3 linked regions of the Xenopus tropicalis genome follow. The protein of the gene in region 1 binds, or shares a complex with, the protein of each later gene. Links are inferred from orthologs where the notes say so. Each region holds a gene or a part of one and is shown in the gene's direction. Other genes may lie near its edges.

The links. The genes of interacting proteins can lie anywhere in the genome.
Region 2: ubtf (region 1) and polr2k share a complex: the UniProt entries of both Homo sapiens proteins name them as parts of the pol I pre-initiation complex. The link is inferred for Xenopus tropicalis from reciprocal best matches to the Homo sapiens genes UBTF and POLR2K.
Region 3: ubtf (region 1) and taf1c share a complex: the UniProt entries of both Homo sapiens proteins name them as parts of the pol I pre-initiation complex. The link is inferred for Xenopus tropicalis from reciprocal best matches to the Homo sapiens genes UBTF and TAF1C.

The regions. Positions count from the first base shown.
Region 1 is NC_030686.2:18,519,161-18,523,396, reverse strand, and holds part of ubtf (nucleolar transcription factor 1), read left to right. Parts: intron 1-1,664; 5' UTR 1,665-1,705; coding exon 1,706-1,763; intron 1,764-2,298; coding exon 2,299-2,474; intron 2,475-2,598; coding exon 2,599-2,682; intron 2,683-2,774; coding exon 2,775-2,930; intron 2,931-3,163; coding exon 3,164-3,228; intron 3,229-3,323; coding exon 3,324-3,444; intron 3,445-3,604; coding exon 3,605-3,715; intron 3,716-4,023; coding exon 4,024-4,157; intron 4,158-4,236. UniProt on the Homo sapiens protein: Recognizes the ribosomal RNA gene promoter and activates transcription mediated by RNA polymerase I (Pol I) through cooperative interactions with the transcription factor SL1/TIF-IB complex.
Region 2 is NC_030682.2:128,130,917-128,135,811, forward strand, and holds polr2k (DNA-directed RNA polymerases I, II, and III subunit RPABC4), read left to right. Parts: upstream 1-1,884; 5' UTR 1,885-1,998; coding exon 1,999-2,059; intron 2,060-2,896; coding exon 2,897-2,989; intron 2,990-4,302; coding exon 4,303-4,325; 3' UTR 4,326-4,496; downstream 4,497-4,895. UniProt on the Homo sapiens protein: DNA-dependent RNA polymerase catalyzes the transcription of DNA into RNA using the four ribonucleoside triphosphates as substrates.
Region 3 is NC_030677.2:215,209,174-215,214,037, forward strand, and holds the start of taf1c (TATA box-binding protein-associated factor RNA polymerase I subunit C), read left to right. Parts: upstream 1-1,853; 5' UTR 1,854-1,960; exon of another isoform or gene 1,961-1,995; intron 1,996-2,042; exon of another isoform or gene 2,043-2,137; intron 2,138-3,613; 5' UTR 3,614-3,625; coding exon 3,626-3,754; intron 3,755-3,947; coding exon 3,948-4,041; intron 4,042-4,864. UniProt on the Homo sapiens protein: Component of the transcription factor SL1/TIF-IB complex, which is involved in the assembly of the PIC (pre-initiation complex) during RNA polymerase I-dependent transcription.

The DNA.
Region 1 (4,236 bases):
TGCAACTGGCGCTGCTGTTGAAAACTGTAGTTCAGCATCAGTCACGTCACACACACATTTGCACTGCTGCCACTAGACTCGTTTGGGTTTAATAGCAAAACCATTTAGGACCCCTTCACTTTTCCAGTAAGACATGGCCACTGTGACCCCCTATATCTCCTGGACTACCCCAAAAGTCGCAGCTGTGAGACTCCAAATATCCTTAACCTCATACCAGAACCATGTGACCATAATGGTAGAGCTGGAGGGGCAGATTATAGGTAATGCCCCGACTGTGTTTGCCACACACCCATCGCATGTAAAATGCCAAGCAAGCTGATATTTACTCCCAGCCCATGCCTACATACCCTTTTATACTGCCTTAAACCGTACAGTGTTATGGGATTGTTCTTGTGTTCAGGGCTCCCCTTACAGGAATTACAGGGGTATTACATTATTATCCCTTCAGGTTTCTATGGCATGTGGCCTTGTGTCTTTTGTTACCCAGCTACACTGTAAATATAGGGAAACATATACAGGTAGGGGATCAGGGCCGCTGCTGGCCAAATGGGTGCCCTAAGCGGAAATTTACTTTTGTGCCCCCTCCCCCAAATATTACGTAAGTAAAAATGAAATACTAAAAAAAAACACCTACTATAGGGGCCCCACACACAGTGCCCCCAATTGCCCCCATAGTAAGTGCCCCCAATAGCCCCCATAGATTGATTGAACTATCCGGGACAGCGGGATGCACTATAAAAACCGGCGGAACATTGTTGGGGGGGTATGTTATAACATATAAAAATGTTTTTTTTTTGGAGCAGCTGGGATGATGCCCCCTTGGGAGTTGGTGCCCTATGCAGACTGAGTACTCTGCTTATAGGGAGCGGCGGCCCTGTACGGGATCCTTTATCCCAAATGCTTGGGACCAGGGGTTTTCTGGATAAGGGGTCTTTCCTTAATTTGGATCTTTGTACCATTTCTACTAAAAAATAATTTAAACCCAATAGGATTGTTTTCCTACCAATAAGGATTAATTATTTCTTAGTTGGGATCAAGTACAGGTACTGTTTTATTATTACAGAGAAAAAGGAAATCATTTTTAAAAATGTGAATTATTTGATTAAAATGGAGTCTATGGAGATGGCCTTCCCCTAATTGGGAACCTTTTGGATGACGGGTTTCCGGATAGAAGATTCCATACCTGTACTTCTGTTGTAAATAATAAGGATATTAGAAGTCACTGAGGGGTTCTGCAGGCTGAGTTATACAGGGAACTCTGAGCATCACTCATGTATTATAAAACTCTGAGCATCACGCATGTATTGTAAGGAATAATGTACCCCCTACTGTAAATAACAAGGATATTAGAAGTCACTGAGGGGTTCTGTGACCATATAAAGGCACAAGGCTGCAGGCCAGGACATTGAATTCCAAGGTGACTTCTAATATCCACATGTTTTACATTAGTTCTTCTTACACACAAAATTGTGAATGAAGTTCAATTACATCACTAAGCACCATTTATAACGGTAAAATTGTAAACAGGCCTTCTCTTTCAACAAAGAGTAAACTCGAAACAATAATTTTAAATATTCTACATTGATTTGACCTGCCAAATACCAGAGGATATGTGTATAAAGTAGTGCCAAGTATAATGTTTTTTCTGCTTTTTGTCCATGTAGAGAGTCTCCCAGGCTGGTGTTAAGGGTCTGCCCAGCATAGGATGAACGGAGCAGCTGGCGGTGTAGCAAAAGGAAACATGACAGCCCCAAAAGATCAAGGTAAGATGATGATGGAGACTGAGATCCAGAAACCTCACGTTTAATGGTCACTGTAGCACTAGGCCTGCAATGAGGGAACCAACAGTTTGTGGGCCATTACATACTCCAGTTAAAGTTCTGGGAGTAACTAAAGTTGGCCGTGCGCAGGCTGTTAAATGCGGACTCAACCCCCCTTCCCCCCCCAGACCAAGTCAGTAGCTTAATAGTCTATGTATGGGGCCCTTAGGAGATCCTGCCCAATCTGTATATCTAGCTGATGTTTGGCTGCTGTGAAATACCGATGGGCCCCCATTATGATCATTTGTGCAGGGGCCAAACTATCAAATGCCCCTGATTTTGCGCACTGCCTTGGTGGCCACATCAAGTAAAGGTCAACTTGTCCCCAAACAAGTGAATCTTAACATGTATGGCCATGTTAATGTTACAATTCAATTTATTTGATGGAGCATAGTGTGATTAACACTGTGAAGTCTCTGGGGTGGCCTTTTCTCATTTGCATACACCCAGTCCATTTTATTGATCTCTCTCCATGTAGACCAATGGTCCCAAGAGGATATGCTGACTCTCCTACAAACCATGAAGTCACTCCTGCCCAGCCAGGACAACTCTAAGTTTAAGACAACAGAGTCTCACCTAGACTGGAACAAGCTGGCTTTCAAAAATTATTCTGGTTCCATGTGTCGCCAGAAGTGGATGGAAATTTCCAATGAGGTACAGTGGGCTAATGAGACGTCTTTCTGTGGGGGGGGGGGAGCCTTTTCTCTCAAGCAATGGGATACTTTCTACAGCAATATATGAGCTTTGTTTTGTGTTTTTGTTCTGTTGATGACATAAGGTCAGGAAGTTCCGGACTCTTACTGAGTTGATCTTGGATGCAGAGGAACATGTTAAAAATCCATACAAAGGGAAAAAACTGAAGGTAACTCTATCGGACCTCTTTGGGTTTGGAATCTAGCCATAGCAGTTTGAATTCCATGTGCATTAACAGCATATTTACCCCAATCCTTTCAGAAACACCCAGAATTTCCCAAGAAGCCGCTCACCCCTTATTTCCGCTTCTTCATGGAAAAGAGGGCTAAATATGCAAAACTACATCCAGAAATGAGTAATCTGGATCTCACCAAGATTCTGTCCAAAAAATACAAAGAGTTGCCAGAGAAAAAAAAGGTGAGTGAAGGACCTGAGGTAGAAGGGGTGTTGAGTGATGAGGGCTGCGTACAACCCATAAAATGTAGGAAAGTTGCACAGAAAGAGGGGTTGGATTTGGGGAGACACACAGAGGACTAATGGGTGGAGGGGGTGGGGTAAAAAATATAATAAGAGAAAAGGCTATAGTTGAACTGTAAAGGAAGAGCAGTGTTGTTTAATGGCATCTTTCCTAATGGTTCTTTCTTCTCCAGATGAAATACATCCAGGACTTCCAGAAAGAAAAGCTGGACTTTGAGAGGAACCTGGCTAAATTCAGGTAACTGTCCATGTGTATGTGTTCAGGAACAACAAAATATTAGCAGAGAAAAGCCACCACATCTTACTGCTTTTTATTTTACCCCCACCTCTTAGGGACGAGCATCCTGATCTCATGCAAAATCCAAAGAAATCTGATGTCCCGGAAAAGCCCAAGACCCCTCAGCAGCTGTGGTATAACCATGAGAGGAAGATCTACCTCAAACTGCATGCTGATGTGAGTGTGCGATAGGGCTTGTCACTGTTGGAGGTGGGGTATAGCAAAACTTGCACTGTCCGACTGTGTCTGACACAATGCCCTGACTGAGTGTGTGTGAACAAGGAAGATGGCATGCATTTGATAGCAACTACCTTTAACTTCACTTCTGTCATTTCAGGCCAGCACAAAAGACGTGAAGGAAGCATTAGGGAAGCAGTGGTCCCAGTTATCTGATAAGAAGCGCCTGAAATGGATCCATAAGGCACTGGAGCAACGCAAGCTATATGAAGTGAGTGCACATTAGCAGAGAGCTGCTGTAGGTCCCATGTTTAGGTACACACTCAGGCTGTGGCCTTCAGGAATGCACATTTGATGTACTATTTCAGGGCTATCCTTTTTGCTCTAGAGCTTATTTTGGGTCCTTTTCCATCCAAGGACCTGCTCTAAACTCTGATTGGTGGGGTTTAGAACCATAGTGATATTTAGGCAGATACATAGCAAGAAGCAGAAATGGAGAGTGCACCTTAGGCCATGGCTAAGTTGTTATTGTTACTGCTCTGCAATAACCCCACTATTGTGTTGCTCTCTGACAAACAGAACATAATGAGGGAATATATGCAGAAGCACCCAGAACTGAACTTAACAGAAGAGGGCATTACTCGCTCCACTCTCACCAAGGCCGAGCGACAACTGAAGGACAAGTTTGATGGCCGGCCAACCAAGCCTCCACCGTAAGTGTGTGTTTGATGTGGCTGTTACCCAAGCAGTGGGCATGTCCTTATTAATCTATCCTACTTCTATGTACAGAGC
Region 2 (4,895 bases), on another chromosome or scaffold:
TTTTTAAAAATTATATCAACTAATCACCCTCTTTGTCCTCACCCTAAGATACTAGGCCTTGTAATTTTGGTATTTTTTATTACTTATTCTGCTCATGCCCTTTTCTATTCATCTTCCAGTCTCTCATTCAAGTCACTGCCTAGTTGCTAGGAAAAATAGGACCCTAGCAAGAAGAAAGCTGCTGAAATTCTACTCTGTAGAGCTGCTAAACATTTTAAAAATTGAAGACCAAGTGCAAATTGGCTCAGATTATCACTATCTACATTATACTAAAAGTTATAGTTAAACTTAAAACTACCCCTTTAATAGAACAAATTGTCCCTGCATTTGCAAAATTAAAACCAATTGTGGGAAAAAGGAAACATTTCTATGTGATACCTTATATACCACGGTTTAGATCATTTCAGTGGGCCTCACACCCCCCAGTCTGGCACTGAATTATTGCTAAACTCATGCTCAGCAGTTCCTCATTATAAAAAGAAACATTGCAATTCACTTTATTTCCTACAGTGTAATCCAGGGGTCCCCAAACTTTTTTTAACCTGTGAGCAACATTTAAATATAAAAAAAAATGTAGGGAGCAACACAAGCATGAACAAAGTTCCTAGGCAGTGACCAATAAAGGCTGTGATTGGTTATTAGATGGCCCACTGTGGACTGGCAGACTACAGGAGGCTCTATTTGGCAGTACACATGGACTTTAGGTCTCCAAAACTTGACTCCAAAAAAAAATAAGCACCTGCTTTGAGGCCACTCAGAGCAACATCCAAGGGGTTGGGGAGCAACATGTTGCTCATGAGCCGCTGGCTGGGGATCACTGGTGTAACCCATACATGCCTATATTTAAAGCAAGAGGCTTATGAAGTATGCTTAGTATTGGGGTGCACACATTTTAGCATGATCCATAAAGCAAGGTTTTCAAAAGCAAGATTTAGGGAATTTGCAGTATCTGTTTTAATACAAATATCCTGCTTCCAACCAGAAACCAAACCAAACTATTAGGCTGAAACAACCAACAGCCAGGAGACAGTTAACTGCTAAACTATTTCAAAAACCACCAATAAAACCTGTAATAAAATCCTCACAATGAAATATTTCTGTTCACCTGAATCCTCTCTGGAGGGTCACCTGGAGACTATCTCTTGCTCAGGATCAATGAAACTGAGCTAAAACTGGAAAACCTGTAAACCCCCCACTTTTTTTCAAATGTGTTCCAAAGGTCATGTGATAAGTACCCATGGTGCTTTTCTTCAGTCATACCCATGATGCCTTTGTTCAGCCATTCCAATCAACTAATTAAAGTGATGAGTGGAAATTGTGTTATTTCTAAAAAAAAAAACTTTGTTATAATGTCAGCCTTTATCTAAGGTTGGCATTAGATAAATTTAAAATAAGTAGTAATGATAGCATTAGTTTTCCTAAAGGATCAGTAACAAAACATTGTTTTTGGCACCAAGTGGTATGATAGTTTCTTGATTCACTGTCTGCACATATAAAAGCAAATTCCGGCACAAAAGCATGTTTAGAGTACATTTTTCACAGCAACAATAGTATATAAGACAGGCGTCCCAGCAACAAACGCCATACCTGAAATCCATAATAAAATCAGAAAATTCATACTATTATATAAATAAATGACACCATACAATCACTTTAATAATGCAGAATAGCAACGGTGCCTTTCTGCATAGTGAAAGAATACTAGCATACTAATAAAGCTTGGAAACATATAGTTGCCCACACTAAAGATGGCCGTCGCACACACGCAGCGAACGTCACGCGTAGGAGCGCTTTCTGATGTCGTAGGAATCGTGCGCCTCGGATGTTTGGTGCATGCTGAGTTGAAAGCAGTGCTGTGCCGATATATTGTAGGCCGAGTAGTCACATTTATTGTATGTAGTGACGTTACGGTAGGGAGAGTGAGAGAAAGGCTGTAACTGCAAATTGACTTTTCTGCAGGAATAAAATACCCGCAATTTATGTTATTCAGGTGAAAAAATGGAAGGCCAGAAGGACGCACCTCCTCCTAAGCAGCAGCCGATGATATACATTTGTGGAGGTAAGGTTTTTCTCTCAAAGCAGTCAGTTTTACTCGGGGGTGCCTTTAGAGGAAGTTATTGGATTCAAAAGACATCAGGGACCTACAACTTCGGCTCCTGGTCACCTGCAATCCCAGCATCCCACCCTGAGTTTTGCCAAAAGTGCCTAATATCCTAAAGAGAAGTTATATGCCCAAAAAACCCTCCAGTGAATATATATATTCTAAACTAGTTGAACCTGTGCCATTTTAATTAGTTTCCCATAAGTCCCTTGCACTGAGCATATGCATTACTTTTGGTTCTGTACATCTGTTTCCTGTGTTTGGGACTAGTCACTAGGAACTATTGGGATACTGCAGAAAGATGGAGGCATGGGAGCTCCTGTATTCACTAGGGAGCTGAATTGGATAAATGTGGGCTTTTAAATGCCATTGTTGGTCATGAATTAAAGGGAGCCAATTATTGATGAAAAAAATGATTTCAAGAGGCCCTGCAGTTTCCAGCATTCTCAGGAGAGCTGAATGATACTGGTGATTGCAGTGCTAGTTTAGATCATGTTGAGAATGTTAATTGGCTAGTGTCTGCAAATGTCGGGATAATATTAAGAGAAGAGAGTGCAACTACGAATCAATAGCGAGCTACCACTAGATTGAAACATTGGATACAGGCACCCAGACAAGACCCCCTCACAATACCCAGAATATAAACATCTTATTTTTGTGTTGTTCCATTTGAACTCACAACAGTCCTTGCAGACATTGTCTTTTTACAAGACTTGTATATTTATCTTAGTCTTTATCAACATTGATTTTCTTTAGATTTTAAACTGCATGTTATTTTCTCTCATCTTTATTTAGAATGTCACACGGAAAATGAAATAAAAGCGAGAGATCCAATCAGGTGCAGAGAATGTGGTTACAGAATAATGTACAAGAAAAGAACAAAACGATGTATCCTTTTTTTCTGGTTACCTGCACATTTACTCCAGACTGAATGCGTGTAGGAACGGAGAATGGCCTGTAAAATAGGCTTGTATTAAACTTATTTCCATTAAAGGGGTTGTTCAATTTTATGATATTCTGAGACAGTTTGCAATTGGTCTTTGTATTATATGTGTGTGTTTTTAATTATTAAGCTATTTGTCTCCAGATTGGAAATTCAGCAGATATCAGGTTGCTAGGGTCCAAATTACCCTAGCAGCCATGCAGTGGTGTAAATGAGAAATACTAATACAAATAGGAGAGGCCTAAATAGAAGGATGTAAAAAAAATAGCAATACAAATAAAATTGTAACCTCAATAGTTGTTTGGATTCCCACAGTGGCCCCAAATCAAATTAAAAGCTAAAAAAAAATAAAAATAAGAAATGTTGACCAATTGAATAGTTTAGCAACTGAATTGCTAATTCTAAAACATACTGAAACATAATTGAAGGTGAACTTCCCCTTTGAAAAACATTAATTGTTTTTGTTACCATTTCCACTAAACTGTGCAGAAAGTGTAATTAAAGAACTTTCTTTTTGCAACTATTTTTTCAAAACAATTATGGAAGAAGGAAAAAGCATTTGATCAAATAATGCATTTTATTAAAAGAATAAGCAAAATAAAATCTAAGCAAAACGTTTGACCCCAATGTGTGTCTCTGCTCTGTTAGCTATGGTGCTTTCCATTTCGTAATATGAGGAGAGTTAAGGTTGTTGAAACCGCCACTAACGTTCAGGGCTGAAACGGCAGATAAGGAGGTAGAAACAATATGATTTCTGCCGACTCAGCCCTGATGGCAGATTTTGCTCAGACGCCTTCTATGGCGCCCGATCAAAATCTTTTAACCTGGCCGATCGGCGAGTCGACCGATATCAGCAGCCTCCTGTGATATCGGTCGACTCGGCGACTTGCCAAACACGCATCAAATATCGTATGAAACAAGGTTTTGTACGATATTATCGGTGCGTGTATGGCCAGCTTTATGGTGGACAGGGGTGTTTTTTCCTCCAGTGTTTTTTTGGAGTATGGCAGCAGTAGAACAAATAGTTGATGTGCCATAAGCATTATTCAGTCACGAGAGGAAGATTAAGGGAGAGCTGGAAACAAATTTAAAGCCAAAAAGTACTTTGTAAAGGGGAACTTCACACCATACATAACAATCCACTAAATTGTAAAATGGATTTATTTAACATCTACTGCAAATTTATTTATGGTACATGAGTGCTACACTTTATTTTCCATTATCTGATTCAATATTTCCTTAATTCTTTCAATTTCAGTGGTTGTGTTTGATGCTCGCTGACCTGGATAAAATTCAGTTACATGTGTCTGACATCTGCTCTACATATATATATGATTAAGTTACATATATATCAGATTTTGTTAATTAATGATAGTGTTCCTTGTTCTTGTGTAAAGCAAGGTATTACATGTTTTGTAATAAAGATTTTTAGAATTTTGTTTTTGTAAACATAACTCGTTGTCATCAGCGTAATTCTTTCTCAGTAATGAAAACTGCTGCATATCACCACCTCTCTGGTCTTATAATGAAGTTGCAGTCCAACAGGTCCCTTTTAGCTGCTGCAAATCCTGTCAGTATGGCTGTATTTTGCTGTGCCTACAACCTAATTGGTTTCCTGCACCTACCATATTACTGTAAATATTACATCATAAGAAATACAATCTTGCTATGCGGCTGGATGTTCTGCTCTAAATGACACAGTCAAACAAGTGTGGGAATGAAAACAGAACAAATTAAGATAACAGGGTCAGGGCTGCATAGTATGTAGGTACTATAAAGCAGGTAAGGGGGATTGATCAAAGGGAAAGTACACCCATTTTCAACATTAGCTCAATGAATAGGGCTTGTGCT
Region 3 (4,864 bases), on another chromosome or scaffold:
GGGATAGGAGGGGATAGTTAGGGAATGGGGGGATAGGGGGGGATAGTTAGGGAATGGGGGGATAGGAGGGGATAGTTAGGGAATGGGGGGATAGTTAGGGAATGGGGGGATAGGGGGGGATAGTTAGGGAATGGGGGGATAGTTAGGGAATGGGGGGATAGGAGGGGATAGTTAGGGAATGGGGGGATAGTTAGGGAATGGGGGGATAGGAGGGGATTGTTAGGGAATGGGGGGATAGGAGGGGATAGTTAGGGAATGGGGGATAGGGGGGGATAGTTAGGGAATGGGGGGATAGGAGGGGATAGTTAGGGAATGGGGGAATAGTTAGGGAATGGGGGATAGGAGGGGATAGTTAGGGAATGGGGGGATAGGGGGGGATAGTTAGGGAATGCGGGGATAGGAGGGGATAGTTAGGGAATGGGGGGATAGTTAGGGAATGGGGGGATAGTGAGGGAATGGGGGGGATAGTGAGGGAATGGGGGGATAGTTAGGGAATGGGGGGATAGGGGGGGATAGTTAGGGAATGGGGGGATAGGGGGGGATAGTTAGGGAATGGGGGGATAGGAGGGGGATAGTTAGGGAATGGGGGGATAGGGGGGGATAGTTAGGGAATGGGGGGGGTAGTTAGGGAATGGCGGGATAGGGGGGATAGTTAGGGAATGGGGGGATAGGAGGGGATAGTTAGGGAATGGGGGGATAGGGGGGGATAGTTAGGGAATGGGGGATGGGGGGGATAGTTAGGGAATGGGGGGATAGGAGGGGATAGTTAGGGAATGGGGGGATAGTTAGGGAATGGGGGGATAGTTAGGGAATGGGGGGATAGTGAGGGAATGGGGGGATAGTGAGGGAATGGGGGATAGTTAGGGAATGGGGGATAGGGGGGATAGTTAGGGAATGGGGGGATAGGGGGGATAGTTAGGGAATGGGGGGATAGGGGGGATAGTTAGGGAATGGGGGATAGGAGGGGGATAGTTAGGGAATGGGGGGATAGGGGGGGATAGTTAGGGAATGGGGGATGGGGGGGGTAGTTAGGGAATGGCGGGATAGGGGGGGATAGTTAGGGAATGGGGGGATAGGAGGGGGATAGTTAGGGAATGGGGGGATAGGGGGGGATAGTTAGGGAATGGGGGGATGGGGGGGGTAGTTAGGGAATGGCGGGATAGGGGGGATAGTTAGGGAATGGGGGGATGGGGGGGATAGTTAGGGAATGGGGGGATAGGAGGGGGATAGTTAGGGAATGGGGGGATAGGGGGGATAGTTAGGGAATGGGGGGATGGGGGGGTAGTTAGGGAATGGCGGGATAGGGGGGGATAGTTAGGGAATGGGGGGATAGGAGGGGGATAGTTAGGGAATGGGGGGATAGTTAGGGAATGGGGGGGTAGTTAGGGAATGGCGGGATAGGGGGGATAGTTAGGGAATGGGGGGATGGGGGGATAGTTAGGGAATGGGGGGATAGGGGGGGATAGTTAGGGGATGGGGGGGATAGGGGGGGATAGTTAGGGAATGGGGGATGGGGGGGGATAGTTAGGGAATTGGGGGGTAGGGGGGGGATAGTTAGGGAATGGGGGGATAGGAGGGGGATAGTCAGGGAATGGGGGGATAGGGGGGGATAGTTAGGGAATGGGGGGATAGTTAGGGAATGGCAGGAGGGGAATAGTTGATTTTTATCTGGTGTAAAATTCCGACACAACAGACAGGAGCCAAAAGCCCAGCTCTACGCCCAAATCACACCTTGAAGGCGTCTCTTGGGAGGGAACTGAAGGAAACTTCCGAGCCGCCACCTTGGAACTCAGAACTGCACCCAGCGAGTAGCAATATGGCCGCTATGCGCTGAGACACGCCCATTGTTCTGTGATTGGCTACATGGTCATGTGACTGAGCGTTCTTACTCTTCATTGGTGCGTAACCTGAAATAACACTTTATGACGGGCCGGGAGAGAGGTACAAGCAAAAACTTCAGGTTCGGATTGTGTGGGGTGTGAGGAGAAGGGAAGTGTGAGTGTGAGTGTGAGTGTGAGTGTCCGCTCGGTAATGGGTGTTTGTCTGTGGGAGACTGTAGCGCTGTGGGAGACTGTAGCGCTGTGGGAGGCGAGTGTGAGCTCTGAGGGTGCAACTACACGTGTTTGTGGGAGATACAGTGAGTAATGTGGGGCGGTCTCACCGTGATTCCCGGGGGTGTCCCTGAGTGTATGTATTACTCGCTCCTGTACTCATACCGCCGGGGGTTACATTTGGCTCTGGGCCTCCTGTGTGTGCAGCTGTGTGATCTAGTGTGTTTGTACCCCCTACTGTAAATGATAAGGATATTAGCAGTCACTGAGGGGTTCTGTGCCCCCCATATAAAGGCACAAGGCTGCAGGCTGAGTTATACAGGGAACTCTGAGTATCACTCATGTATTATAAGGGATAATGTACCCCCTACTGTAAATGATAAGGATATTAGCAGTCACTGAGGGGTTCTGTGCCCCCCATATAAAGGCACAAGGCTGCAGGCTGAGTTATACAGGGAACTCTGAGTATCACTCATGTATTATAAGGGATAATGTACCCCCTACTGTAAATGATAAGGATATTAGCAGTCACTGAGGGGTTCTGTGCCCCCCATATAAAGGCACAAGGCTGCAGGCTGAGTTATACAGGGAACTCTGAGTATCACTCATGTATTATAAGGGATAATGTACCCCCTACTGTAAATGATAAGGATATTAGCAGTCACTGAGGGGTTCTGTGCCCCCCCATATAAAGGCACAAGGCTGCAGGCTGAGTTATACAGGGAACTCTGAGTATCACTCATGTATTATAAGGGATAATGTACCCCCTACTGTAAATGATAAGGATATTAGCAGTCACTGAGGGGTTCTGTGCCCCCCATATAAAGGCACAAGGCTGCAGGCTGAGTTATACAGGGAACTCTGAGTATCACTCATGTATTATAAGGGATAATGTACCCCCTACTGTAAATGATAAGGATATTAGCAGTCACTGAGGGGTTCTGTGCCCCCCATATAAAGGCACAAGGCTGCAGGCTGAGTTATACAGGGAACTCTGAGTATCACTCATGTATTATAAGGGATAATGTACCCCCTACTGTAAATGATAAGGATATTAGCAGTCACTGAGGGGTTCTGTGCCCCCCATATAAAGGCACAAGGCTGCAGGCTGAGTTATACAGGGAACTCTGAGTATCACTCATGTATTATAAGGGATAATGTACCCCCTACTGTAAATGATAAGGATATTAGCAGTCACTGAGGGGTTCTGTGCCCCCCATATAAAGGCACAAGGCTGCAGGCTGAGTTATACAGGGAACTCTGAGTATCACTCATGTATTATAAGGGATAATGTACCCCCTACTGTAAATGATAAGGATATTAGCAGTCACTGAGGGGTTCTGTGCCCCCCATATAAAGGCACAAGGCTGCAGGCTGAGTTATACAGGGAACTCTGAGTATCACTCATGTATTATAAGGGATACTGTACCCCCTACTGTAAATGATAAGGATATTAGAAATCATTTGTTATGAGCCGAGGGGATCCAGCCTGAAGGCCAATTATAGTGAGTACATTTAGCTTATGTAACTGCCTTATAATCTTTCTTGTTCTTGCCTTGTAGATGACTTCTTAGATGGAGTTTCCAGGCTCTTTGTTCCCCTCATTTTACAGCGAGGGGCCCTGTGCCAGGGAGGCCCCCACTTCCCACTCTGTGTTTGGCCTGGGGGAACACAGCAAAGTCCAGCACAGTAACAGCGCGCAGGTAAGGTTCAGTAGAGACATTAGTTTATTGGGGTTTAGATGGCAGCTCTGGGGATAAGTGTCAGAAATGTTACAAAGGAAAATAAGAAAGGGGATCACATGGGGATGCTTTAGTGGGGGGGGGGGGGGCAGTGCTGGGGAAGGGGGTGGTTATAGTGGTTGCACCCACAGACACCTTGTCATTGTTTTCACAGGATGGTTACAAGTTCATTCCCTTGTACAGCAGATCTGCAGAACGTTGGAGCCCAACCAGCCCGGCACCCATCCCACTGCTGCCTCCTAACCCTGGTAACTCATATGGGAAGTCTCTCAGCCACCTCCTCCGCTTTGGGCCTGGGGGGACTGACCCATAAACACGTCGGTGCCATTAGTACAGTTTGGGCCTAGGGGGGACTGACCCATAAACACGTCACTGCCATTAGTACAGTTTGGGCCTAGGGGGGACCGACCCATAAACACGTCACTGCCATTAGTACAGTTTGGGCCTAGGGGGGACTGACCCATAAACACGTCGGTGCCATTAGTACAGTTTGGGCCAAGGGGGGACTGACCCATAAACACGTCACTGCCATTAGTACAGTTTGGGCCTAGGGGGGACCGACCCATAAACACGTCACTGCCATTAGTACAGTTTGGGCCTAGGGGGGACCGACCCATAAACACGTCGGTGCCATTAGTACAGTTTGGGCCTAGGGGGGACTGACCCATAAACACGTCACTGCCATTAGTACAGTTTGGGCCTAGGGGGGACTGACCCATAAACACGTCGGTGCCATTAGTACAGTTTGGGCCTAGGGGGGACTGACCCATAAACACGTCACTGCCATTAGTACAGTTTGGGCCTAGGGGGGACTGACCCATAAACACGTCGGTGCCATTAGTACAGTTTGGGCCTAGGGGGGGCCGACCCATAAACACGTCGGTGCCATTAGTACAGTTTGGGCCTAGGGGGGACTGACCCATAAACACGTCACTGCCATTAGTACAGTTTGGGCCTAGGGGGGACTGACCCATAAACACGTCGGTGCCATTAGTACAGTTTGGGCCTAGGGGGGGACTGACCCATAAACACGTCGGTGCCATTAGTACAGTTTGGGCCTAGGGGGGACTG